Saccharomyces cerevisiae S288C: one gene and its partners. Changing the gene in region 3 together with the main gene of any one other region gives a genetic interaction. Each region holds a gene or a part of one and is shown on either strand. Other genes may lie near its edges.

Evidence for each region.
Region 1: mutations in VPS21 (region 3) and GTA1 together harm fitness more than expected from each alone (negative genetic interaction), as found in Saccharomyces cerevisiae (3 studies listed by BioGRID).
Region 2: mutations in VPS21 (region 3) and NNF2 together harm fitness more than expected from each alone (negative genetic interaction), as found in Saccharomyces cerevisiae (3 studies listed by BioGRID).
Region 4: mutations in VPS21 (region 3) and VAM7 together harm fitness more than expected from each alone (negative genetic interaction), as found in Saccharomyces cerevisiae (3 studies listed by BioGRID).

The regions. Positions count from the first base shown.
Region 1 is NC_001137.3:67,878-75,140, reverse strand, and holds GTA1 (Gta1p), read right to left. Parts: upstream 4,664-7,263; coding exon 1,793-4,663; downstream 1-1,792. Other genes in the region: GDA1 (guanosine diphosphatase), read right to left, coding at 1-1,370; IES6 (Ies6p), read right to left, coding at 4,884-5,384; threonine aldolase GLY1, read left to right, coding at 6,349-7,263.
Region 2 is NC_001139.9:654,350-661,456, reverse strand, and holds NNF2 (Nnf2p), read right to left. Parts: upstream 4,498-7,107; coding exon 1,687-4,497; downstream 1-1,686. Other genes in the region: CTT1 (catalase T), read right to left, coding at 5,135-6,823.
Region 3 is NC_001147.6:488,532-493,536, forward strand, and holds VPS21 (Rab family GTPase VPS21), read right to left. Parts: upstream 2,298-5,005; coding exon 1,665-2,297; downstream 1-1,664. Other genes in the region: YVC1 (Yvc1p), read left to right, coding at 1-1,203; type 2C protein phosphatase PTC5, read right to left, coding at 2,592-4,310; translation machinery-associated protein TMA46, read left to right, coding at 4,902-5,005.
Region 4 is NC_001139.9:88,539-93,709, reverse strand, and holds VAM7 (Vam7p), read right to left. Parts: upstream 2,279-5,171; coding exon 1,328-2,278; downstream 1-1,327. Other genes in the region: NCS6 (Ncs6p), read right to left, coding at 119-1,198; SKI complex subunit WD repeat protein SKI8, read left to right, coding at 2,463-3,656; CLG1 (Clg1p), read right to left, coding at 4,371-5,171. UniProt on the Saccharomyces cerevisiae protein: Essential for proper morphogenesis of the vacuole. May exist as structural reinforcement on the surface of the vacuolar membrane and be required for maintenance against rupture by osmotic pressure.

The DNA of each region.
Region 1 (7,263 bases), on a different chromosome or scaffold from region 3:
CTTTCCAATTCATCTAGGGACCCCGCAATGCCACTGAAGACACTATTCCAAGTTTCTTCGCCTTTACACACTATTCTTGCCAAATCGTTCAATTCATTCAAAGTAAAGGACAAGGGCATACCCAATGGACGGGTTCTGTCGTAGAAATAAGAGAAAATATAGATATCGTTCGATTCTTTGAATGTACGAACTAAAGAAGGTTGGTGAACCCCATTGAAAGAGCATGGTGGAGACTGGCACTGAGCATCTTTATTCAAAATTTCATCAGTCAGAAATCTACATTGTGCACCACTTGGCTCGTCCGGCCCTATAAAGTCAATGGTATAAGTTTCCTTGGATTCTAATGTAACCTTTTCATTTGTGGCATTAACTTTAGGCGGTAGGCATGGAGATGACAATTGATGAGTCTTAGTGTTATCACCCTTCAATATTTTGCCGTCTTTTAATGCATTTTCCACAAGAACAGAGTTAACTTTATTTCTTCCTTCCTTCAAACCGTAACCTAGATGAGAAAATTGGTACAAGGTGTAATTTTCATCACCAAACTTCAAATCAAATTTATGCTCACCATCGACCATTTTTTCATTTATTGGGAAAGTAGGCTCAAAAACAATTTGTGTAGACCCTCCGCCTAAGTCAAAAACGGCAGCAGTAGGTAACTTGGGGCCATTAGCACCGATATTACCTAATAGGTAGTTTGTAGTAATCCAGGCGAAGACACCTTCTTCATCACCGCCCATGATGGAAACACCATCACCTTCGACAACTGGGAAAGGATAGTCCTTCTCCAAATGATCCCTTACAGCGCTCAAAATTTTTGAAGATTTGGCATCACCCAAGAGTCTTAGGCCTGCAGTAGCTTTCACCGCAACGGGAGTACAACTTCTTGCCTTAATAGGGACATAGTTCATTGCTACTTTCAGTAATGGGTCAAGGGAGTTAGCGGCACCAACGGAATCGGTATCGAAAGAAGATAAACCAGGCTCTAACATGTCGAATTTTTCATCAAGTAATGTAGGTGGGGAAGTACAGACGTCAAACTTGTATATATGTACTCGGGAACCGGTAGAGCCGGCATCGATCATGATAACATACTTATGTTCTTCGCTGCATGTTTGACTTGTTTGTGACTTCACAGCATCGGCAAGCTCAGGATAGTTTTGTTCAGTCTTCGAATCTTGAAGGTAACCTGGTTCATCATTGACGGGCAAGATAGAGATGTCCTCCGGAGTTTTGGGAATACTAGCATTAGGAGTAACTGTACGTGCAATAGAAGGTGGACCGATGGAAGATGTTTTAATCAACAAAATGAGCATAATAACGGCAAAAGCACCGATAGCGAACCGGTAATTTCTAAAGATGGGCGCCATGTTTTTTGTGCGATGATGTCTTAATGTTTCTTCTCGAGAGGACCCTTAACTGTTCGCCAATAAAGATTGTTGATTGCAGTCCTTGCCCTTTTTATTAGTGCTTTCTCCTTAAAACCAAAATTAAATAAGCTTGTAAAAGAAACTGTTTTTATATTTGGAAAATCGAAGCACTATGCAAGGAATATTATTAATGTTGACAGTTATTTTTCATGTGTTATGTTTTTCATATTGAAGTTGTAAAAAGATGGGAAAAATGAAATTGAGACGAGACGCCAAAATAAAAAGAAAAAAAAAAAGAAAAAATGAGATTAATACCGTTACCCTATTGATGATTAAGAATAAGCTCAAACTGCTTTCATATATTATGTTTCATAATTTATATATCTACATATATACACGACCTGGAAGTATTATAATATTGTTCATGAGTCGTGACTGTGCGGGTTAAATAGATTATTCATACCGCTCTTGGACAACAGTTTTGACATTCTTCTACCGCTTGGACTAGTTGATGGAGTTGATGAATCTTGAATATCCGTGTCCGCATTAGCAGGTGATGATGCAGACTTGTGCTTAAACTTGGACCATGCAGAAGAAATGCTGCTGTTACTTTGGTTCCTCTTGTGAGAAGGCTTAGGGCTTGGTTCTTTAGCGGGAACCTTTGGACCCACAGGCACATCGAGGTGATACTGCTCCTCCAATGGAGGAGAAAGTTGATTTGTATTTGAATTCCATATGGAGTTGAAAGGTGGTGAAGAGGCATGGAAAGATCTTCGTGTAATGTTATCCGCCGTTGGTTGATGGTTCATTGTTAATATGTTCGAGTGTGAAGGTGTTAAAGTAGTGTTATTGCCTGGAACAATGGGCACATCGTTTGAGAGTCGTGGGCTCAAGTTTGGCACCAATAAATTGAAGTCACTTGATATCCTTGGACTAATGTTCTCGGTTTCATTGCCATTGATATTGTTCTGTAAGGAGTTTGCAGGTTGCGGAGCACTGTAGAAAGAACCACTGCGTACAAAACTTTGTAATGAAGGATCATTCAATGTAGCGGCGAGTAGACTCTGTGGATGCATAGGATTCGTATTGGTTGCGTTGGAGGTTTGTCGCAAATGAGAACTAGAATATGGAGATATTACTGGGTTAGCCTTATATGATGACATAGGTGTTCCAGTCGTAGAGAAAAGACTTTCATTTGTGCTGCGCACCTGGGGTTGCTGCTTAGTCCAGTAATTGTCAAGTTCGTCTGTAGTAAAACCCTTGGAATAATTGCTTATGTTATCAGGATAGTCTGTTTCGTCGTAGATCATATTTTGCAAACCACTGATTAAGTGGTTTGCATTATCGTATTCAAAAGCTTGATCCAATTCTGTAGATACTTGTTGATGCGAAGGTTGAGCGAATTGTGCGGTGGTCCATAAATTTGACCTTGAGTGACCATTAGTTGCTGTTGCTGTTGCTGTTGCATTAGCAGTAGCAGTTGTAGGTAAAGCATGTGAATATGAAGAAGGCTGTTGCTTGTTTTCGTTGTTCGATGAGATGTGATTGGAGAGCATTGATCGATTATCGGTGTCCTGTGTCAATTGACTCAATAGACTGCTTGAAGGTTGTATGGGTTCATTCGAAGGAGAGTACGAAACTGGATTGTGCAACCTCAACGGAGGAGCAGAATCAGCATTACTGTTGTTAATACTTTTGTTATTATTCGATATTAAATCAATGGACCCCGTTCTTGACATGTTGTTGGATAATGGTAATTGAATCGATCCAGAACTTCTGTTTTTTTCCGCGGAATTATTCGAATTGGTGGCAGCAAGCGAATCACCGTTATTCTTATATGGTTGAACCATTAATTTTGTTTTCAAATTCCGATTATTAAGGCTCATTTCATTAAATTGGTTTTCTAAAGCACTAATTTTCTTCAACAAATTTGACCTCTGCAATTTCCAGTTGGCCTCCAATTCTTGATCAATGCTTAGCTCTTGCTTAATCATTTTAATCAATGATGAGTCTGCATTCAATTTGGATAGAAACTCTTCACCAGCATTACTTAAAAATCCATTTTTTTCTAAAGTAAAATCATTGAGCTTCTTCAAAACAGCCGACAATTCTCCGCTAGCAATAGGTTTATCGTTTTCCACATTGGCATTCACCACTATGGAAGTAATCAATGATTTTTTGGAGGCGTTCAATCTCTTGTTAGACTCCTCCATCTTGGAAATTTCATTTTGTAAAGACTCAATTTCTTTGTTGATATTGGCCACAGAGGCATTGGATTCATTTAGCAATTTGAAATATTTCTCCTTTATGGTATCCTTAGACAACAGCTCGGTATCTTCCTGAGACCATTTCTGCATATCATTGCGCATTTTCGATATTTTTTCCTTGGATTTGTCGATTTTCTTGTTCAATTTTTCGATTTTCAAATCGGTCAATAGTTTAGAATTCTCCAATGACTTGATATTGGATTTCAAGGATTTCCGCAAGTCAATTTCGTGCGACCAATGTGTTTTCAAGTTATCCAGTTCTAGTTCTAATTCTAACTTCGATTCTTGAAAATCTTGCAAAAGCGAAGTTTGTTGGGACAACACATCGTGTAAGTCCTCCTGGGCGCAAATCAGTATCTTTTTCAGATCATCGATGGAAAACGAATCCAAATCCTTCAACGTAGTCAAAGATGTGTAAGCGGGTAGATTTGAACCATTATTGCTGGTGGCGCTATTAGTAATATTGGATGAGAAAGTAGACAGGGAAACAGAGGAGTAGTGAGAGGGCAACGGGGCGGGTTCGGACTTGGAGTTTCTGGGCTGCATAGCTGTGGACGATGTGATGGTGTTTCTTCTCCATTTTCTAGTCTTTAACGCTTCATTCGCCTCTCTCGCCTTCGTCATACAGTAAATGGAGGGTAGCTTATTGATAAAGCCCTTGTTGTTAATCGTTATAAAATCTAACTGGTACTGCGTCTCCGCCTCGAGACCCGTGATGGAGCAGCATGTGTAAAGGGAGTTTGGGTTGTTTGGGAAGATAGCCAATTGTGTGTTATTCAGATACAACAAATAGTGGGAAATGAAGTTTCTATCCGCACTGCCATTGTCCTCCGCTTTTACAGGTTCGTTCTCCCAATGAATGGTCACTGAATCCGTGGCTATTTTGTCGATAGACACTTTTGTTGCCGGTGGAGTTTTGATCTTCAAAGTGGAGACGATGCTGGACACAGGAATAGTGAGAAACTTATAGAGCCTATAAGAGAGCCACAGACATGCTAAAACCGTGGTTATTACAGAGACTGGCATCCATGCATGTGTTGGTAGTCCTAGGTAGGAGCGTAATGTGTCTTTACACGCTTTCCATTAACAATATTCCTTTTTTTTTTTTATTATTTTTTTTTCACTTTATCTTGTCCTTTTTAGCTTTACTCTACACTATTTTGCATTGTCGCACGTGACCAGCGACAAACTATGTAAGTGTGAAAGGTTGTCTACAAGCTAAAATACATACATACATATACAATGCCTATTTTAGAACGAAGTTGGCCCCTCTCAATTTTAAGTACTCCTGATCGACGCCGGGGGCCATCGGCTTTACGATTAACTGATAGATTTCTGCGTTGTGATACCGAATGTTGTTCGTAGGCGACTTGTAGAAGCCCTTCAACCCAGTAACATCGCAGTACTTCTTGGCAGGCCTGATAGACGGTGGCGCTTCCACGCTAAAGTACGTCGCTTTGGGCACAAGTCGCCTAGCAGCAGTAGAACTCTCTGCAGCTTTGTTAGCCTTGGTCAACAAGGCGTTGATCCGCTTGTTTTCGTCCGAGATCAACTGCCTCGCTGATTTGTGTCTTCTTGTCGGTTTCTTGTAATGCGCCGACTTGAATCTAGAGGGAAAGCCAATTTCATTGCGTTCGCCCACGCTTCTTAGAAACAGCAATCTCTCGTCGCCCCCGTCATTATTATTGTTATTATTACTATTATTACTGACGCTACTATTGCTGCTATTGCCCCTACTACCGCTCATTGTTTCGACTTTCTCACGCTGATGATGATGACAATTTTAACCTTCCCCTAGGTCACAACTTTTTTTCCCTCGTTCGCTTCTTTACACTTCCATTCCTCACCGTCTCAGCGCGGAAGAAAAAAAGCACGCTAAGTAAACCCAAAGTAAGCTAAGCTTAACTAAGCCGAACCTGGCCTAGAATTCTCTCTAACTCATTCTTTCTTTCATCTACTCACTCGCCGAAGAACAGGCACAGACTAATAAACTATGCAACCAGAAGGTAGTCGTCGTCATCGATATTCATCGAATATGTGCGGCGACAGGGCCTTCCTTCGCACAGAGAGCCACACGGCACGCCGGGGTAGCTGTTTCCTATTTTTTTTACACACGGCCCCAAATTGTTATTACTATTCTTTTTTTCTTCAACGCAACCAATACTTCTTGTTGTATATGTGCTGACAAATCATGCCAGCGGCAGGCCTGTGCAGCACGTGACCCACGCTTGGCCCGCTATGAAATGTCACGCGAAACGGACCCTTGCCTTTTTGGCGACGGCACTTCCCCTATCTGGAAAAAGCCGAGCATGCACCCGTACCCCACAAAGCTTCGCTTCCGGTTTCCGGGCAGCAGCGCCGTTTCTTTTTTCCCGCTGCTTCGCCCTTTGTATTACTCATTGCGCACTTTTTCACTTGCCATATTCGTTCACCGGTTTTTCTTTTTATTTCTTCGTCTTTTTTCGTCTTTTTCTTCACTGGATATACGCTTTTTGCATTTGCAATAGCACATATGTGTATATATATAAGCAAGTGTTGAGCTTGCCTGTCAAATCCTCCATGTGTCCTTCTCGTCTATCTTGTTCTGTCTGGTATAGAGTAATACTTACATACATATACGTACATTGTTTCCGCTGGCTAGTTCGTAACCACCTCCTTTCCTAGGCTTACACTCACTTTTACTCCCGCACACAAACGCAAACATAAACACAATGACTGAATTCGAATTGCCTCCAAAATATATCACCGCTGCTAACGACTTGCGGTCAGACACATTCACCACTCCAACTGCAGAGATGATGGAGGCCGCTTTAGAGGCCTCTATCGGTGACGCTGTCTACGGTGAAGATGTTGACACCGTTAGGCTCGAACAGACCGTTGCCCGCATGGCTGGCAAAGAAGCAGGTTTGTTCTGTGTCTCTGGGACTTTGTCCAACCAGATTGCCATCAGAACTCACTTGATGCAACCTCCATACTCTATTCTATGTGATTACAGGGCTCACGTTTACACTCACGAAGCCGCTGGACTGGCGATCTTGTCTCAAGCGATGGTGGTTCCTGTGGTTCCTTCCAACGGTGACTACTTGACCTTGGAAGACATCAAGTCACACTACGTCCCAGACGACGGTGATATTCACGGTGCCCCCACCAGATTGATTTCTCTGGAAAACACTTTACACGGTATTGTTTATCCATTGGAAGAACTGGTCCGCATCAAAGCTTGGTGTATGGAAAATGGTCTCAAACTACATTGTGACGGTGCCAGAATCTGGAATGCCGCTGCACAATCTGGCGTGCCATTAAAGCAATATGGGGAAATCTTCGACTCCATCTCCATCTGTCTATCCAAGTCTATGGGTGCTCCTATTGGGTCCGTCTTGGTTGGGAACCTTAAGTTTGTCAAGAAGGCCACCCATTTCAGAAAACAACAAGGTGGTGGTATTAGACAATCTGGTATGATGGCTAGAATGGCTCTTGTAAACATCAACAACGATTGGAAGTCCCAATTGCTGTACTCGCACTCTTTGGCTCATGAATTAGCCGAATATTGTGAGGCAAAGGGCATCCCGCTAGAGTCTCCAGCAGACACCAACTTTGTCTTTATTAACCTGAAGGCCGCTAGAATG
Region 2 (7,107 bases), on a different chromosome or scaffold from region 3:
TGTTCTAAAGGAAGGATAGTTTGAACTATATTATAAATTTATAACCAAAATCACTGGGGTATATAAACGATCGCCAATTAGCCAAAAGAATATGATAAAGTTATCAGAAAACTTGGGACGTATTCGAAGTATGTTATTTCTTGATAAGCTTAAGAAATACATTGGATACTTTGAAGAAGCACCTATGCTTTACAGAAAATTGGAGGGGCGGATAATAACAGTTTCAACTAGACGGAAAAATCGATACAAGATAAATTTGGAGGTACGGCAAAAGATTCGCTACCGAGCCTAAATATCCACTTCGTTACGTTCATCCACATGAAGATGTGAACAGGTGTTGGTATTCTCGTGTCCACAGCAGCATCAAAATCAGCAGGCCATGGATAAACTTTCCGTTGTCATAGCAGTGGCGCGGTCGATTCCCTATAATCACGACGATAGGACTGTAGTTGTTATCTTGACATACATCAGTATGCATGCTGAAATTTCCATCGTCGAGCACTATCAGAGCCACGTCCGGTATGTGTTGGAAAACGATCATTTCTTCATTGGCTAGTGTTCACGGCACTAGCATATTATTGTATATGACACAAGAATTAAGGCCCAAGCCATGGGATATAGTTATTGATTTCAGTGGAATCCGAAACTAAGATTAATAATGTAACAGGATATTGAACGACAGAATGCAAAAAGGAAAAAAATAGTAGCACTATTACTTAAAAATACCGATCTCCATTCATGGATCTTTGATCGTCATGAAGAACCCCTAATACATTCCGTATATTTTACCGAATAATGGAAACCTAGAAATTACCAGCAGATTCATCAATTCTTTAGTAGGCGCCTATTCTCGTGTGGAAACTATATTAAAGGGATTCGTCAATAACTAATCGTTACTCAGATTATCCCTATCAAATCGTGATAATATGTGGTAGGCCTCCATCTCTTCGCCAATTTTGCAAAACAACCTGAGAATTGGTCGTAATTGTAACCTAGAAAACTTGATATGAGCACAATTATAAGTTAAAATACGATACAATAATGTTGAGATTGGTTATTGATTAAATTCTATTGTTGTATATTACCAACTTACTCTCTATATTTGCGGTAGTGATAACCTCGTTAGAAACCTCAATCCATTGCAATTCTTTCCATGAACTTAGTATAAATTATAGAATATTAGTTTTCGTAGCTTGTAATGTATTTGAATTGGAACCATCTAATTGTTATCTGCCATTTTAGTATTTTGGACAAGCTCCAAATATGTGGTCCTAAGTTCATATCGAGGATACAGATTATTTGGGCCGTATCTTTGATGTCATGGAGAGTAGTGTGGCCTTCCAAGTCCTGGGGCAGCTATTAATTAGGGAATGTTTTGATCAACAACTTAGTGTTAATAGTAGACACAACGATGTGAACTGTTCAATACATCAGCAAACATTCTTAGTTTTTCTCATATTTTATGTTTACTTATGTTAACCTGCATTATTTCCATAAATAACAAAAGGCAAAAAAGTAACAAATGAAGTTATTAGGAAACAATAAAAAAACAATATCGAGAAAAAAACGACTGACTACATTTAAAGTAGAACGTCCAAGTAATAAATACATGTATATATTCAATAGAAGTAAATTTTAGGATGCTACAAAACGAATTCTTATCTATCTTTGTTTTCTAATCTTCCATCAGTAACTATTACCAATTAGACTATGTATATTTTCATTCTCATTTTCTAATCTGTTGATATCTTGCTCTAACCCCTTTATAGTCAATTCAAATTTATTGGCTTCGCGTATCCTGTACTCCTTTCTTCTAAATCTATCCTTTTCTCTTTTACTCAAAAATTGAGTACTGAACTTTTCTATCTCTTCTGCGTTCTGATCGACCTCCTTTTGTAACTTCTCGTTTCTCGCGTTCAATTTGTCCAGTTTAGAGCCTAGTTGAACTAATTCTTGATTGACCTTTTGGAACCTCCCTTCTGAGTTTTTCAGGTCTTTCGATAAGCTTTCTTCTAACTTACTGAACTCTAATTGATTTTTCAAGTGTAGATCTTTCTTTTTCAAGTATTCCTCTTCTAATTCAAGCTCTTTTTCAGTGAGAGTTTTCAATTGCATCTCTAACTTATTTACCGCAGTCTCACTTTGCTGTAGGGCAACCTTCAAATTTTCGACTTTTAAAGTGCTCTTTTCGTCATGTGTTGCGTTCTGTGAAATCCTGCCTTTAAAATAATCAATTTCTTGTCTCAAAAGACTTAACTTCTTGCTGAATTCCTTTTTTGTCTTTTTCAATTTTGTCCTTTCATCGGACAAATTTGCGTTTGTAGTTAGCACGGAATGCTTCAGAGTTAGCAACGGAGATAAGAATTTCCTATGGTAGTATGAAGGGAAGCTGAAATCAAGGTTTTCAAATTTTCCGGCAATCGCATTGTTATTCCCACAAGTCCTTACAATTAAATCAGAAACCAAATAATCATCTCGGTGATTTAGTCTGTTGATGAATTGAATATCATAAGAACAAGAAGGGACTAATCCGTTAACGACAACGTATTCTTCGCCTACATGCTCTAAAATTAAAGCGCAAGAAACTTCTGACCAGATAACACCGTTTACTAAAACAATGAGTTCGCCATCATGTAAATTTTCAATATGGAATGTAATAGAGTTTGTGCTAATATCAATAATGCAAACTTTGTAGTCATTATCATTTCTATTGAAAATATTTTCATTGGTGGAAACTAAATTTAAAAGATTGTAGTCATCAGATGTTGTCTTTGCAATCAGGGCCATAGTATTTGAAGGTTCGAAATTGTTAAACACGCTCTTCTTAAACTTTCCGGCATGGGTGAAACTAATTCTTGATGAAACTGAATGTGTATTAATCGTGTCCAAATCTTTGTCATGTTTTTCCTGATTACTGACGTATGAAGTATTCGAATTTGTTGGTGTTAGTGAATTTTCAGAGGTTTCTTGTAAGTATTTTTTTTCAAAATTCGTTGTTTTTAATGTAACTACCATAGACCAAAGAGGTGCAATCAAGTGTTGATTCTTTCTTCTGAATAGAAGACGGATAAAATTTTCCAAGTTTGATGTAACAGATATGTCTGAAGATAATTTGCTAGAAGAAAACATGTTCCCAAAATCAACATTCAGTTCAAACAGTTGGTTAGTATACTTGTCATTGGAAGGGGAAAAGAAATCAGAATCCTTTTTCGAATTTCCATTCGAGGAATCAGATAGAGAGATTTCATTTGACAAACTAGTGTTATCACCAGAAAAGTTGAACGTTGTAGGAGAGGTTGTTGTACTGGTAGTAGTAGTAACGGCTTGAGAATTGCTTCCTTCAGCAGAGATTACCGATGGCTGATATGACTTATATTCCTTGACCATAGAAGTGAAATAGGGAAAACTAGAAGTAGCATCAGTAGGATAAGAGGCGGCAGGGTTCAAAATATTACTGTGTGATGATAGGGGAACTGGCGAGTTATTTTGTTGGGATGGATGGATAGTTTGATTGCTGCTGCTAAGTCCACCTGGATCGTTCGGTATCATAGGACTTTGGTCCTCTAAAGTGTTCGAATCGGCAGAAACGGAAGAAGAAGAAGAAATTCTCATCTTTTGCAGACCTTGAACACGGGCTACATCTGGTTTAGTTGAATTGAAACCCTTTTTCAATGGCTTGTTTTCCGCTGTTTGTCTATGAGGGTGTAATAAACTTGAAGCAAATGAGAAAAAAAGGATGTGAAAGGATAGATAATAAATCATACTGTCTGAATGTTTGCCAAGCATCTTGAAAGGCATTGGCAAAAATAGAGAGAAAAGCTTTTTGAAAAACTGTGAATACTTGCGAAAAACCGTGAATAATTTAATTGATTGGCCGGTTCCTCGTAAAGACATATCAAATAACTGTATAATGTCAAAGAAGTGTGACACTCTTTGAAAAGTGTTAGTTGACACAGCATACAATACTGAGCATGAAGTTGCATAGCTTAAGCAATCGCTTGGATCATTGATCAAAAATGAGGCAATAATAGAAATTGCCAGATTTTTTATTGGCTTAACAAAATAATCGCCACCGTAAATCTTTAGTAACATTGCAAATAAAATTTCACAAATTAATACGGGGATCGGAATGACGAAGCTATTTTTTGAATTGCCAAAAAATCGTGAATTAGATTTTCGGTTTGAACTACCATTGGTCACTTTGGAAGTACTTATATCTATGTGCGCCACTTCACCGATATGGCGGGAAGGTTTTTTCGATAGGAAAAGTATAATAAAACAATTTGCCAGAAAATCTTTGCATTTGGTAGCAACAATAAAGGAAACCAATAAACATAGGGAAGTGAAGTGGTTAAAACTCAAAAAAACCAGGAACAATGCAAGCGTATCTTTAAACCTATGTTTTTTGGCAAATTCGGTGGGCTGTTCACTCCTTTTAGTGTTCATTAATGACTGTAGATGTGATACTTTCTTCTGATTAGTAAATTGTTCCTCCATGAAAATTGTGCATGGATCCTTTTATGTAACGGAGATAGGTGGAATCTTAAAAAATATTGGGGTGTATATGAATAAAAGTTATTCAGAGTGATTACCTAAAGAGATGGTACGAAAAATGTGGAGATAGAAAACAAAAAACTTTGGTAAGATATTATTATAACAGAAAGAATTTAAAGTTTTCTCTGCTGGTACTCTGTATAATCCTCTTAGTCCTAATAAAATTTGTTTATTCCTCTTTTAATAGAAACTAACGAGTTGTGAAAACCTAGTTATGTTACTTGTTATATTACACCTTCAAGAGGTTTAGGAATTCAACGTTATAAACACACAACTGCATAAGTTAGGCTACTTTTTTTTTTCAGATTGTCCGTATAATGCGATAATCGTTGAGTTCATGCCGATCTAAGTACCGAATTAGAAAAAAATGTGTCAAAAGTAGGCAGCCAATCTGTTTTGCTGCCATATTTTTCCTAACAGGATTTGCTATGTATGAAGTACGATAAGTATGAAATATTAGTGCTTGTACATACGACCAATTTGTAATAACTAGTGATGTAGAGAATAAACTTAAAGAAAACTTATGAATAAATAATTATGGAGATATAATTACGAATAATTATGAATAAATAGTGCTGCCTTAATTGGCACTTGCAATGGACCAAGTCTTGGCATAACCTTCAAGGTCAACAGGTTCCCAAGGAACTCCCAAGCATTCTGCAATGACTTTACCCAAATCTTCGTTTAGCAAACCAAAGTATTGCGTAACTCTCTTTTTGACTTTAGGATCTTTGATCTTACAAGCGTGGCAAACAACGTTATGAACGAATAATTTCTTCTGTTCATCGTTGTATACCTTTTCATATAGAGCTCTTGGCTGTTCGAAGTCTAGTGGACTAATACCATAAACGTAGTAATATTGATTAATTTTGGCATCAACAATATGCTCGTTTCTGATTTGGTCTTGTTCCTGTTTTCTCACAGAAACTTCTGTTACTTCGTCAAGAACTATCCCTTTGAACTTATCAGATACTTCGTCGTTGTCTTCATTTTTGAATTTCAGAGTTTGATTTGGTAAACTGGAAATATAATTTGGCTCAGGACCGAAATTGTAGTAACTCATTGGGCCGTCCCTTTGGAAGTTCACTGCTTTAAATGGACACTGTTCGGCAGTGTATTGGGAATCACCTTTGGAGTATGGACATCCCAAGTTTCTTGGTCTGTTGACGGGCAATTGCTGATAGTTGGCTCCCAATCTATGACGTTGAGTGTCTGGATAGGAGAAAAGTCTGGCTTGTAGAACGGAATCATTAGAAGGCTTAATACCTGGGATACAAGTGTTCGTTGGACTGAATGCAACTTGTTCAATTTCTTGGAAATAATTGTCAACATTCTCCGTTAGGGTGATGGTACCAAATTTTCTCAAAGGGAATTCCTTGTGTGGCCATATTTTCGTTAGGTCATTTACCGAATACCTGAACTTAGTTGCTTGTTCGGGTGTCATTGTTTGCACATAACAGTTAAATTTTGGCTTTTCGCCATTTTGCAATTGAGTGAACAGCTTTGCCTGATTATAATCAGGGTGGGAGCCTGACAGTTCAGCAGCCTTATCTCCAGTCAAGGTTTCAAAACCAGTATCCGACAAGACGTGGAATTGCACATATGTGTCCTTACCTTCTTTGTTGACCATGATGAAGGAATGACCAGAGTACGCGTTCATACTAGCCCACGAAGCAGGAGTACCTCTATCACCAAACATGTAAGTTATTTGATGGATTGATTCCGGATTCAATGTTAGATAATCCCAGTATATGGTAGTGTCCTGAAACTGATTCAGATGAGACTGAGGGTCTCTCTTTTGCGAATGAATAAATACGGGAAACTTAATAGCGTCTCTGAGGAAGAAGACGGGAGTATTGTTGAAGACCCAGTCATGGTTCCCCCACTCGGTATAGAATTTAAAAGAAACACCTCTTGGGTCTCTTGCAGTGTCTGGTGTACCACTTTCACCACCAACGGTGGAAAAACGAACAAGACCAGGACATTTGTAACCCACATTCTGGTATGGAGCGGCGTATGTAATATCACTCAAAGAATCTGTTAGTTCGAACTCCAGTCTACAACCACCACCTTTGGCATGGACTACACGCTCCGGAACTCTTTCTCTATCGAAACTTGCAATATTTTCCAGCAGATGGAAGTCTTGCAGTAAGATAGGGCCGTCTGGTCTTGAGTATTGAGAAGCGTATGGGTGATGAGAGTACGGAAAACCGTTTTGTAGAGAGTAAACTTTTTCTTGCTTTTCTTCTTTTTTACCGAACACGTTCATTTGTGAAGCTGAGCTGATTGATCTTATTGGCATGAGACAAGAGAAGGATTTTTTTAATAAGGGCAAGTAACGACAAGATTGAGTTCTGGAATAGAGGTAAAGCAACGACTTCTTATACGTGTAGCAGTAGGGGATACGATAAATGCACAATGTGTCCAGGCTACGTCGAATCCTTACAAATTCTACCTGTTGAGGGAGTCGGGGGCATTATCGGCTAGGCTAGCCTGCAGCCAGAGGGTGAAGTGAACTATACTTTTTCAGCATACGAATAGTACTGGCAATGA
Region 3 (5,005 bases):
TTCAATACTGGTTTCATCTTGGATGAGCTCACTAAGCTTTATTATATTGGTTATGCGCACCTATCGTTTTGGAATTTATTTAATGATACCACATATTTGATAATCACGTTTGCTATGGGGTTCCGTGCAATGAGCGTAACGCCCCTTAATGCAAAATACTCTTCAGAAGATTGGGATAAAATATCATATAGAGTCTTATCCTGTGCAGCACCATTTGTGTGGTCGAGACTCCTACTATACCTTGAATCACAAAGGTTTATTGGGATTATGTTGGTTATCCTAAAACATATGATGAAAGAATCCATTGTATTTTTCTTCCTTCTATTCTTAATAATGATAGGATTCACTCAAGGTTTCTTAGGTTTGGATTCCGCAGATGGTAAGAGAGATATCACCGGACCCATCCTGGGTAATTTAACAATCACCGTTTTGGGTCTTGGTAGTTTTGATGTTTTCGAAGAATTCGCTCCCCCATATGCGGCAATACTGTATTATGGTTACTATTTTATTGTTTCGGTTATCCTTTTGAATATATTAATTGCTTTGTATTCGACTGCGTACCAAAAAGTTATTGACAATGCAGATGACGAGTACATGGCTTTGATGTCACAAAAGACGTTGAGATACATTAGAGCACCTGATGAAGATGTCTATGTTTCTCCATTGAACTTAATTGAAGTGTTCATGACACCTATCTTTCGTATTCTTCCACCGAAGCGTGCTAAAGATTTGAGCTATACTGTAATGACAATAGTGTACAGCCCATTTTTGTTGCTTATTTCTGTTAAAGAAACTCGGGAGGCTAGAAGGATAAAATATAACAGGATGAAAAGGTTAAACGATGATGCCAATGAATATGATACTCCATGGGATTTGACAGATGGCTACTTGGATGATGATGACGGTTTGTTTTCTGATAACCGAAATTCTGGCATGAGAGCCACCCAGTTAAAGAATTCCCGTTCGCTAAAACTGCAAAGAACAGCAGAGCAGGAAGATGTCCATTTTAAAGTCCCTAAGAAGTGGTATAAAAACGTTAAAAAATGCAGTCCCTCCTTCGAACAGTATGATAACGATGACACTGAAGATGATGCTGGTGAAGATAAAGATGAAGTCAAAGAGCTCACTAAGAAAGTGGAAAACTTGACAGCTGTAATTACCGATCTACTCGAAAAATTAGACATAAAGGATAAGAAAGAGTAAACGACATGTGTTCAAATACTGCTTAATTAATTTCTCAGAAATCCATATATATATATATATATTGCTCCTCATTGCAACTTTGTAAATTTAATGTTCCTTTAATTTATCATTATTTACAATATTAACTAATCCATCTCCCGATTTTCGGCATAAAATAAGTTTATATTTTGGTCTACATGAAAACAAAAGTTTAACTAAACTAACGTGTACAAACCACTTTGAAACGTATATAAAGGTCTAATAAAAACGACTGGCGTTTTGAAAGATAATATAATGATCTAATGCAGTTAAAAAATTTACAAATTATAAGAAGAAAAGAAAAACAACGATTACGGTAAAAAATGAAAACTCCCTCTCCTTTCTAGGTACGATAAATTATGACTTTCATCTTTCCCGTTTTGAAGATCTATTTATCTCAATTTGCCCAGACTTTTTTTTTATATATATTTATTTTCCCCTCTCTAACAACTGCAAGCACTGTTTGCGCTGGTCCCATCATTAGCAGCGTTCAAATCCACTCTTTGATTGTTCGACTCACGTTCGTTACTTGCACTATTTTGCTCTTCAGCCGTCTTCAGTGGTATCTTTTCACCGATTCCCAAAAATACATCGTTAACATTCTCTCCTGTCTTTGCACTTGTTTCAAAGAACAACAAGCCCTTTTCTTCCGCTAGCTTTTCACCTTCTTCCCTTGCGACTTTTCTTTCCCCACCTTCTTGCAGCATATCGATCTTGTTACCAACTAACGCAATGATGATATCCTTTGATGCCTGTTCATGTAATTCCTTAACCCAGTGGCGCGCTTTAATAAAGGATTGTGGTTTTGTAACGTCGTATACTACAAGAGCAGCTTGTGCGTTTCTATAGTACATAGGTGCTAAAGATGCAAATCTCTCTTGCCCAGCAGTGTCCCATATTTCAAACTTAACAGTATGTTCATTTATAGTAACTCTTTGAGTGAGGAATGCTGCACCAATGGTGGGCTCCTTATTTTCGGCAAAATCATTAGATACAAACCTTAGGACTATTGACGATTTACCAACTGCTGCCTCACCCAACAGTACCAACTTTATGGAAGTGACTGATGTGTTCATTTTTTTGTGTGATAAAAGGGATATTTTTTTATAGCTTAGATAAGTCGACGATCTTGCTTTTTATTTTTAAAATCGTTGCCACTTTTATAAGATAAGCTGCTCGTATTTTCACCTCACTTCTCTTTCTTTGTCTTTTCGGGGATATTGTTTTAGCAAAAAGCCCCATAATGCAAACCGAGAAAACCAAAAAAAAAAAAAACACGTATGAGGTGACAAGAAACTAGATAATCAGCAGACTAATATCTATAAAATAAATCCTCTGGTATATACCTACCTCAGCATAAGTTTATATCGTCATAATCTAGGTTTTGGCTTTGTTGTTGCCTCCGGGTTCATAACTATTGAAGTAGCATTGGAGACAATTGAGGGTGTTCCAGAATCACCAAAGAACGCCACTGTTACTGTCAAGTCATCTCTGTATCTTCTACTCATCGGCGATGGTATACTTACCAATGCCGATACATATTCTTTTCTTCCGCCCGCACTTAATGCATTTCTAATTAAATGAGTGGCGACGTTTTTGTCTTCAATAAGATACTCTGGGTTTGATCCTGATGGTGAGCTCGAATTATTATCCTTGTACCTGAATGCCGGTCTTTGTGCTTCCTTGTCTTCAGATACATCGATAACTTTTGGTAATTTCCCCGGTTCTGCCTTCACAGGTGCCAGATTCATATTTTTATCCATCCACCTGATAACCAAGGAAGCAATTTCTTCATTAGTTAGTAATTCGAATAAACCATCCGAACCCATCACCATAAATTTAGTGTTCTCACCAATTTTGGCAGAAGTAATCACTGGTTCCGCAGTGACATATGGGGGTGTCTTGAAATCCCTTGGCTCTCTTCTAAAATAAAGTTTGGCAACTTCAGGCAAATCCGATAATGGTTTTCCATCGACTTCTTTGATCTTGTAGCGATAGTCTCCAAATGCCCTGGATGGTTGTAATGAACCCAATATTCTTCCGTTTCTTATAACGTTTGGTTCTCCTGGATGTTCTTTCCTAATTCTCCGTACTTCATCCAAATTATCACCGGTCTGGTCGGTGGATAGCGACTTTACCGTCCAATTGCCCTCGTTGTCCAAACCACAAATTAAAGCCCTTGAGTCTCCAGTGACAGCCACTTTCAAAATTGAGTTAGTGGAGTTGTATAAACTTAATAGTGCACAAGAACCAGAAATCGCTGGTAAAGTGTTTGCAATATTTGTGTTGTTTGGATCTTGAAACAGCTTCCTGAACGATTCGATTACAAGATCATTATCTAGTTTCAAAAAACCTTTCGAAATTGCAGAATCGATTAATTGGTTGGGGTCGGAATGGAAAACCGTTTTGTTCTGGTCATATACCTGACCTAATTGATACGCTACATAACGGACTAGATCTTTAGATAATTTTTCCGAAGTGAAAGGACCACCATGTCCATCAAAAATTCCAAAAAAATACAAATCCTTCTCTATGGACTTGCCATCCTCACTTTCTATCGGAATGGTAATGATTTGTTCTACGTGATCGTCTTCTATTGGATGGTTAGAGGGCAACTGTGCCACATCATACCTGAATATACCAGTGCCACGGTTAACAAAATGGCTTTCCTCTCTATCATGTAGTTTAGCCTCTATTTTAGAATCGTTCAAGATAAGAACAGATTGGTCATTCTGAGACCGTTGACTCTTTTGTGTCTCTGTTCCTTTTGGATTAGGTGACGGCATGTTAATGTTACCACTAGTATTTGTAGAATAATCTTTTATTCCGTTAATTGTATCAAGGGAGAGGATCTTTTTAGGGGAATAGTAGGAGTAGGTCAACAGTAGGGACCCGCTTAGTAGAGCAATGTTTAGAGCTTTAGAATGTGATGATATGAATAGCTTTGTCCTTGAATAGTATGTGCTGTTGGCATGTGATGTTGAATATGCACGTTGGAGAAACTTCTGTGTGTATTCTCTACCAGATTGACATTTAGATAGAACCTTAACCGTTTTCTTTATAGCTACGGTTCTAGTTAAGGGAGACATGGAGAGATTGAGAGAAGTAAAAGCACTTCTTCTGTTGAAAAATTTCAGTAGAGCACAAATTCAATTAAAGTAGCAATAGATGTTTCTTTTCCTGCCTATCACACGATTTCGTTTACCCTCCAATCGATCCTTTTTTTCTTTTTTGTATCTTGTGTAGAAAGAAGTGAATCCTGTTTTTCTACATAATGAAGGGCCGGTAACTGCTCATTACTGAGTTTTAAAGTAGAAAATAAAAATGTATGCAATTGGTCGCCAATACCTGATAACTAAGAATGTAACTATGCAAGGGATAAGGAAATTTAGTCAATGCTGCCCATCACACCCTGAACAGCACAAGATTGCAACCTCTGAGAGTATTTCTTAAGTTGGAGACTAGTGGAGGAAATGAATTGGCACGTAGCTCGTCGAACATGATGAACTGTGATGATAATGAAAAAATTTTTGTTCCCCAGCGATGAGTTAGTGAAAATCGACAATATATCTTTTTTTAATCAATGTGTTTTACTATTTCTAGAAAGCAAGGGAAGCCACTCTATTAGTAAACCTCTGGGCTTTACACATATAAAATCGCAGGAAAGTTATATTTCGAAGATGCCACCAAAAAAGGGAAAACAGGCCCAAGCGGCTGGTAAGAAGAAGGATAATGTCGACAAGACGTTCGGTATGAAGAACAAGAACCGTTCTACCAAAGTCCA
Region 4 (5,171 bases), on a different chromosome or scaffold from region 3:
TTATAGCTGATTCTTTTATTTGTCTTTATTGTGTTGCGCGTTCTAATGGAGGGCGCGCCGTACTATATTATATTATATTATGTTACGCTGCATTCTTCTACTGCGAGCTATATATATGTCAAAAGCTGAGTTTCTCAAGAGCTCTCAGCTTCAAGGCTGCACCATCGGCAGAAGTGTCATTCTCGATTGCCACTTGGGCTCTACTTTTCTCCAGTCCTTCCAGCAACATGCACGCCTTGCAAATGTTATTTGACGACAGATATCCACATCTAGCGCATCTATTGCCGTCAACAAATTTGACGACTCTCTTTCCAGCGTTAGATTTTTTAGCCTTTAATGCCAAATTTTCGCCACTTTGGATGATGTCTATAATGCAACTGGGCCTCACTGCTTCCAGATTCTTCATGTATTCTCTCGCAGTGCCCCTAAACGCTTCTGGGGCATAGGTACACTCAGTGGAAAAATAATCCAGCTTCATGTAGTGCGCATACAGGACAATTTCCTTTTGGTAAGAATATTTAAATGGTTTTGATCTCTTGATGGGAGAGCCGCTACTTTGTGTGATAATCGCAGTCGATTTTTCCAATCTTGCTACGTCACCACGTAGGATATTCATTAGTACTGTCTCTGCCATATCGTCTGCATTGTGGCCGGTGACAACGTGAGATATGCCCAGCTTTGCAGCACCACGGTCCAATGATTGTCTTCTAAAAACACCACAATACGTGCAACTGTTCCTTATACCAGCAACGGATACAATCTCATCCATTGTCCAATCATAGAGGTCCTTAAAGGAAAAAATCTCCAAAGGAAGGCCATACTGCTGCTGATTCCTTTTCACCGTGGCCAAGGAATCATCTCTGTATCCGATGATTCCTTCGTCAATACTCAACAGTACAATCTCAATGCCGTAATCGTAACGGTCATTCAGAAGCTTCAGCATATGCGCTAACACCGTGGAGTCTTTACCACCAGAGGCCCCCACGGCTACTTTTTCTCCCCTCTGAAACAAGTTATTTGCTACAATAGTGTTATGGATCTCCGTCTCGAACACGAGGCAGAAGCATTGTTTGCAAAGTTTAGACAGGTTTTTGGGTCTTCTAATGAGAGCCTTTCTTGAATGACATAGTTCACACAACTGTGATACCTTCACTTTTGTCGGTTTATTGACGGGATCTGAAGGAGCAGTAAACGACATGACGGTTCCTTTGCTTTACTCTTACCATATCGTCTCATCGCCAAAATTTTTCAATTACTAGATTTACAATTTTTTTTTTTAGTACAAATATACTCTCAGGATTTGTAACCCGGATAGTAACTCATTAATTCAAGCACTGTTGTTAAAATGTCTAGCCTTCTTGTTGGCTATCTGTAACCTCCTACCAGTGTTATCGACGTCATCTTCAAGTGCTGTAAGTAGCTCATTCTGTGTTTGCAGCTCCTCGTTCATCTCTAAGGCCAATCCACGTTGTGCCTGGATAATTCGGTGCAGTGCAACCAACTCTTGTTCTTGATCGCGCACCATTTGCATCTGCCCCTGTTGCAAATCGTTATTCGTTCTTCCTTGAACTTCCGTGGTTGAAGAGTTGTCACTGGTGGCAACCCCCAGAAGTCGTCCACGGTCCTGAGCTATGTTTGCTGTACCAATGTCATCGCATTCCTTGAGCAAGGACCTCAATAGAGCGGCGCGACGAGTCACTTCCGTGCTTGGAAGAGACTTCTTTTGCACATCCTGTTCTAGTCGCTCTCGTAACTTGTGGAGCTTCGTACGTGCCCTTAGTGCTCCACGCACGCTGGGTGTGCCATCACTCTCCTTATCTAAATCCAATTTAATATCTCTTATCATCTCATCCCATCCCACTTCGTCAGCAGTTTCTAGATGCTGCTGTGACTTTTCTTGAGAAACATTTGGCTTTGACAACTGCAGGAAGTCTTGCGCTATTTTTGTGTCTCTCCATCGAGAATCAAAACGATCGTTATACAATTCATTGAGGAACCTCTCTAGTCCGATCCGTCTTTCATCGATCATTTCCGGATCATCATATCTTCTTTGCCACCTCCTGTCCAATACACCGGGCTTTTCAGGGAAGTCATATGGGATGGTGCTTCCTACATCTCTCTCCAATCGTGTCTTCAGTTTCCAAAACTCGGAATACCTTTTGTAAAGGCGCTTGTTTGGTGTACTAACACCGTATAAAACATACTTGGGGTTGATTTTAACATCGTCCACCTTGATTCTTAACTTTTCACTCATTTTCCCTACAGAATTAGCTGCCATCAATATCAATTATCAACCCTTATATGACTTTATTGTTTTTGTTTTTGTTGGCTAATTAATTGATACAAATCTTTAGGCGAAAAATAAAAAAAATATAAAGTAAAGAAGGAAAAATTAGGCGATATTAAAACAAATCTAAAATAAAGACAAGAAACGAAAAAGAGGTTAATCAAGTATTGGAAAAATGTCCAAAGTGTTTATTGCCACAGCAAATGCAGGTAAAGCTCATGACGCTGATATTTTCTCGGTTTCTGCTTGCAATTCATTTACGGTAAGTTGTTCAGGTGACGGTTACTTAAAGGTGTGGGATAATAAGCTGTTAGATAATGAAAATCCAAAAGATAAGTCATATTCTCACTTTGTCCATAAGTCCGGATTGCACCATGTCGATGTCTTGCAAGCTATTGAGAGAGATGCATTTGAATTATGCCTTGTTGCTACCACTTCATTTTCTGGCGATTTACTCTTCTATCGTATCACTAGAGAAGATGAGACTAAAAAAGTTATATTCGAGAAATTGGATCTTCTAGACTCAGACATGAAAAAGCATTCCTTTTGGGCATTAAAATGGGGTGCCTCAAATGACAGACTACTTTCCCATAGGCTGGTTGCTACAGACGTCAAAGGGACCACTTACATTTGGAAGTTTCACCCGTTTGCAGATGAGTCAAATTCTTTAACACTAAATTGGAGCCCCACGTTAGAATTACAAGGCACTGTCGAATCGCCTATGACTCCAAGTCAATTTGCCACTTCTGTGGATATCTCTGAACGAGGACTAATTGCCACAGGTTTTAATAATGGAACAGTACAAATTTCAGAACTATCTACATTACGCCCGTTGTACAATTTTGAATCTCAGCATTCTATGATTAATAATTCGAATTCCATCAGATCGGTGAAATTTTCTCCTCAAGGATCCTTATTAGCCATTGCTCACGATTCAAATTCATTTGGTTGCATCACTCTATATGAAACTGAATTTGGTGAAAGAATAGGCTCCTTATCCGTACCAACCCATAGCTCGCAGGCAAGTCTGGGTGAATTTGCACATTCTAGCTGGGTCATGAGTCTATCGTTTAATGATTCTGGTGAAACATTATGCAGTGCCGGATGGGATGGTAAATTGAGATTTTGGGATGTAAAAACAAAGGAAAGAATCACTACATTGAATATGCATTGTGATGATATTGAAATTGAAGAGGATATCTTAGCTGTTGATGAACATGGAGATTCTTTAGCTGAACCTGGTGTCTTTGACGTGAAGTTTTTGAAAAAAGGTTGGAGATCTGGTATGGGAGCTGATTTAAATGAAAGTTTATGCTGTGTTTGTTTAGATAGAAGCATCAGGTGGTTTAGAGAAGCTGGCGGTAAATAATCTCTAGTAATATCTTGATATATTGCATGTAACCTTACAATCATCCATTATTCTTTTTGGTTCATAAAATTTCAGTAATATTTAATACCTTTAATAAGCCAATGTATGAATTTCACTTCACAAAAATAAATTTGCTAGTAATAAAAAAAAAAAATTGGTTTTTTTATGTATTTCTTAAATATTAGAAAGAGATAGACTCAATTCTTACATATGTATATGTGGAGAACTTGAAAAAAAAAATTAATAACAAAGTAAATGAGAAAAAATGATAAAGGGAAAGAAAAGGACAAGATGTTAAAAATCCAGTGCTTTTTTTTTTTGGTTTTCATTTTTTATAGTTTTTATTCCTGTCATAAAATTTGTTTAGTTTTTAATTTTCTTTTTTTTTCATATTTTTTTATTTTTTTTATTTTTTTTAATAAGATCACTCACCTAAGAGGTCCATATGGAGTACTAATAAAAAAAGTAATAATAATAATCTTTCTTCTTTATTTCGTTTTTCAAAAATTTTGTTAGCTTCCGATTTTCATTTTAGGAAAATATGTTTCTAGATTTTTTTTTTTCAAATTTTTCAATTTTTTTATTATATCTGTTTCGAAATTCTGTTTTCTCATGAGAGAAAATAATAAAATGATAGATTAGAAAGATGATCCTGGGCAAAAGAGAAAGTAATTCGATGGGATCAAAGAAAAAATAAGGAAAAAAAAGTTTTCACTAATACACTGCCGAATACGGAAAGTAGTTTCGCTCAAATCTTGAATGATTTATTGTGTCATCCATTGACTTCCAGCCAAGATGATGACCGTAAGACTGATTATGGACGTGAGGGGGAGGTAATTGTGGAGCGGCAGGTAAAAGTGAGTGTTGTTTTTGTTGTTGCTGTTGTTGTTGACTACTGAAATTGTAGAAGTCGTAATCAAACTGAGTTTCCGAAATTGGTGAAGAATATATATTGGGGAATTGTTGATAGTAATTCAATCTTGGCTGATTATAGTTGTAATAGTTATAATAACCATTCATACTAGAAAATTCAGACCTTGAGTTACTCTGATAAGATGGTGATGAAAACATGTTATGCGGCATCAGCATGGGGGTTTCATAATTGGAAACTGGAGATAATAGGTTGTTTGTGGAAGTAGGCTTCAAGTTGAAATTTACGTTTCTCGTATCACCAACGTTGACAATTGGAGATAATAACGTAGGAACCGCTACAGCAGGTTTGAGTTGATTTTGCTTGAAAATCTCAAAATTCTTGACGAACTCAAAATAAAGAAAAGCACTATCATACAATTCCCAGTTAAATATTCTCAACCATTGTCTCTCGAAATCATTGATAACATTTATCAGTATTCCTGTTGCCTGTGACCATGAGTTATTGGTGAAAGTTTTGTCATCGTTGAACTTGTTTGCTAATATGAACGCAATCATAGTATTTTGATAAATGATATTGATCGAATTGCCACCAATTGAATGTATCCCATTAGATAATTTATTGATATACTTGAAAAGATAATC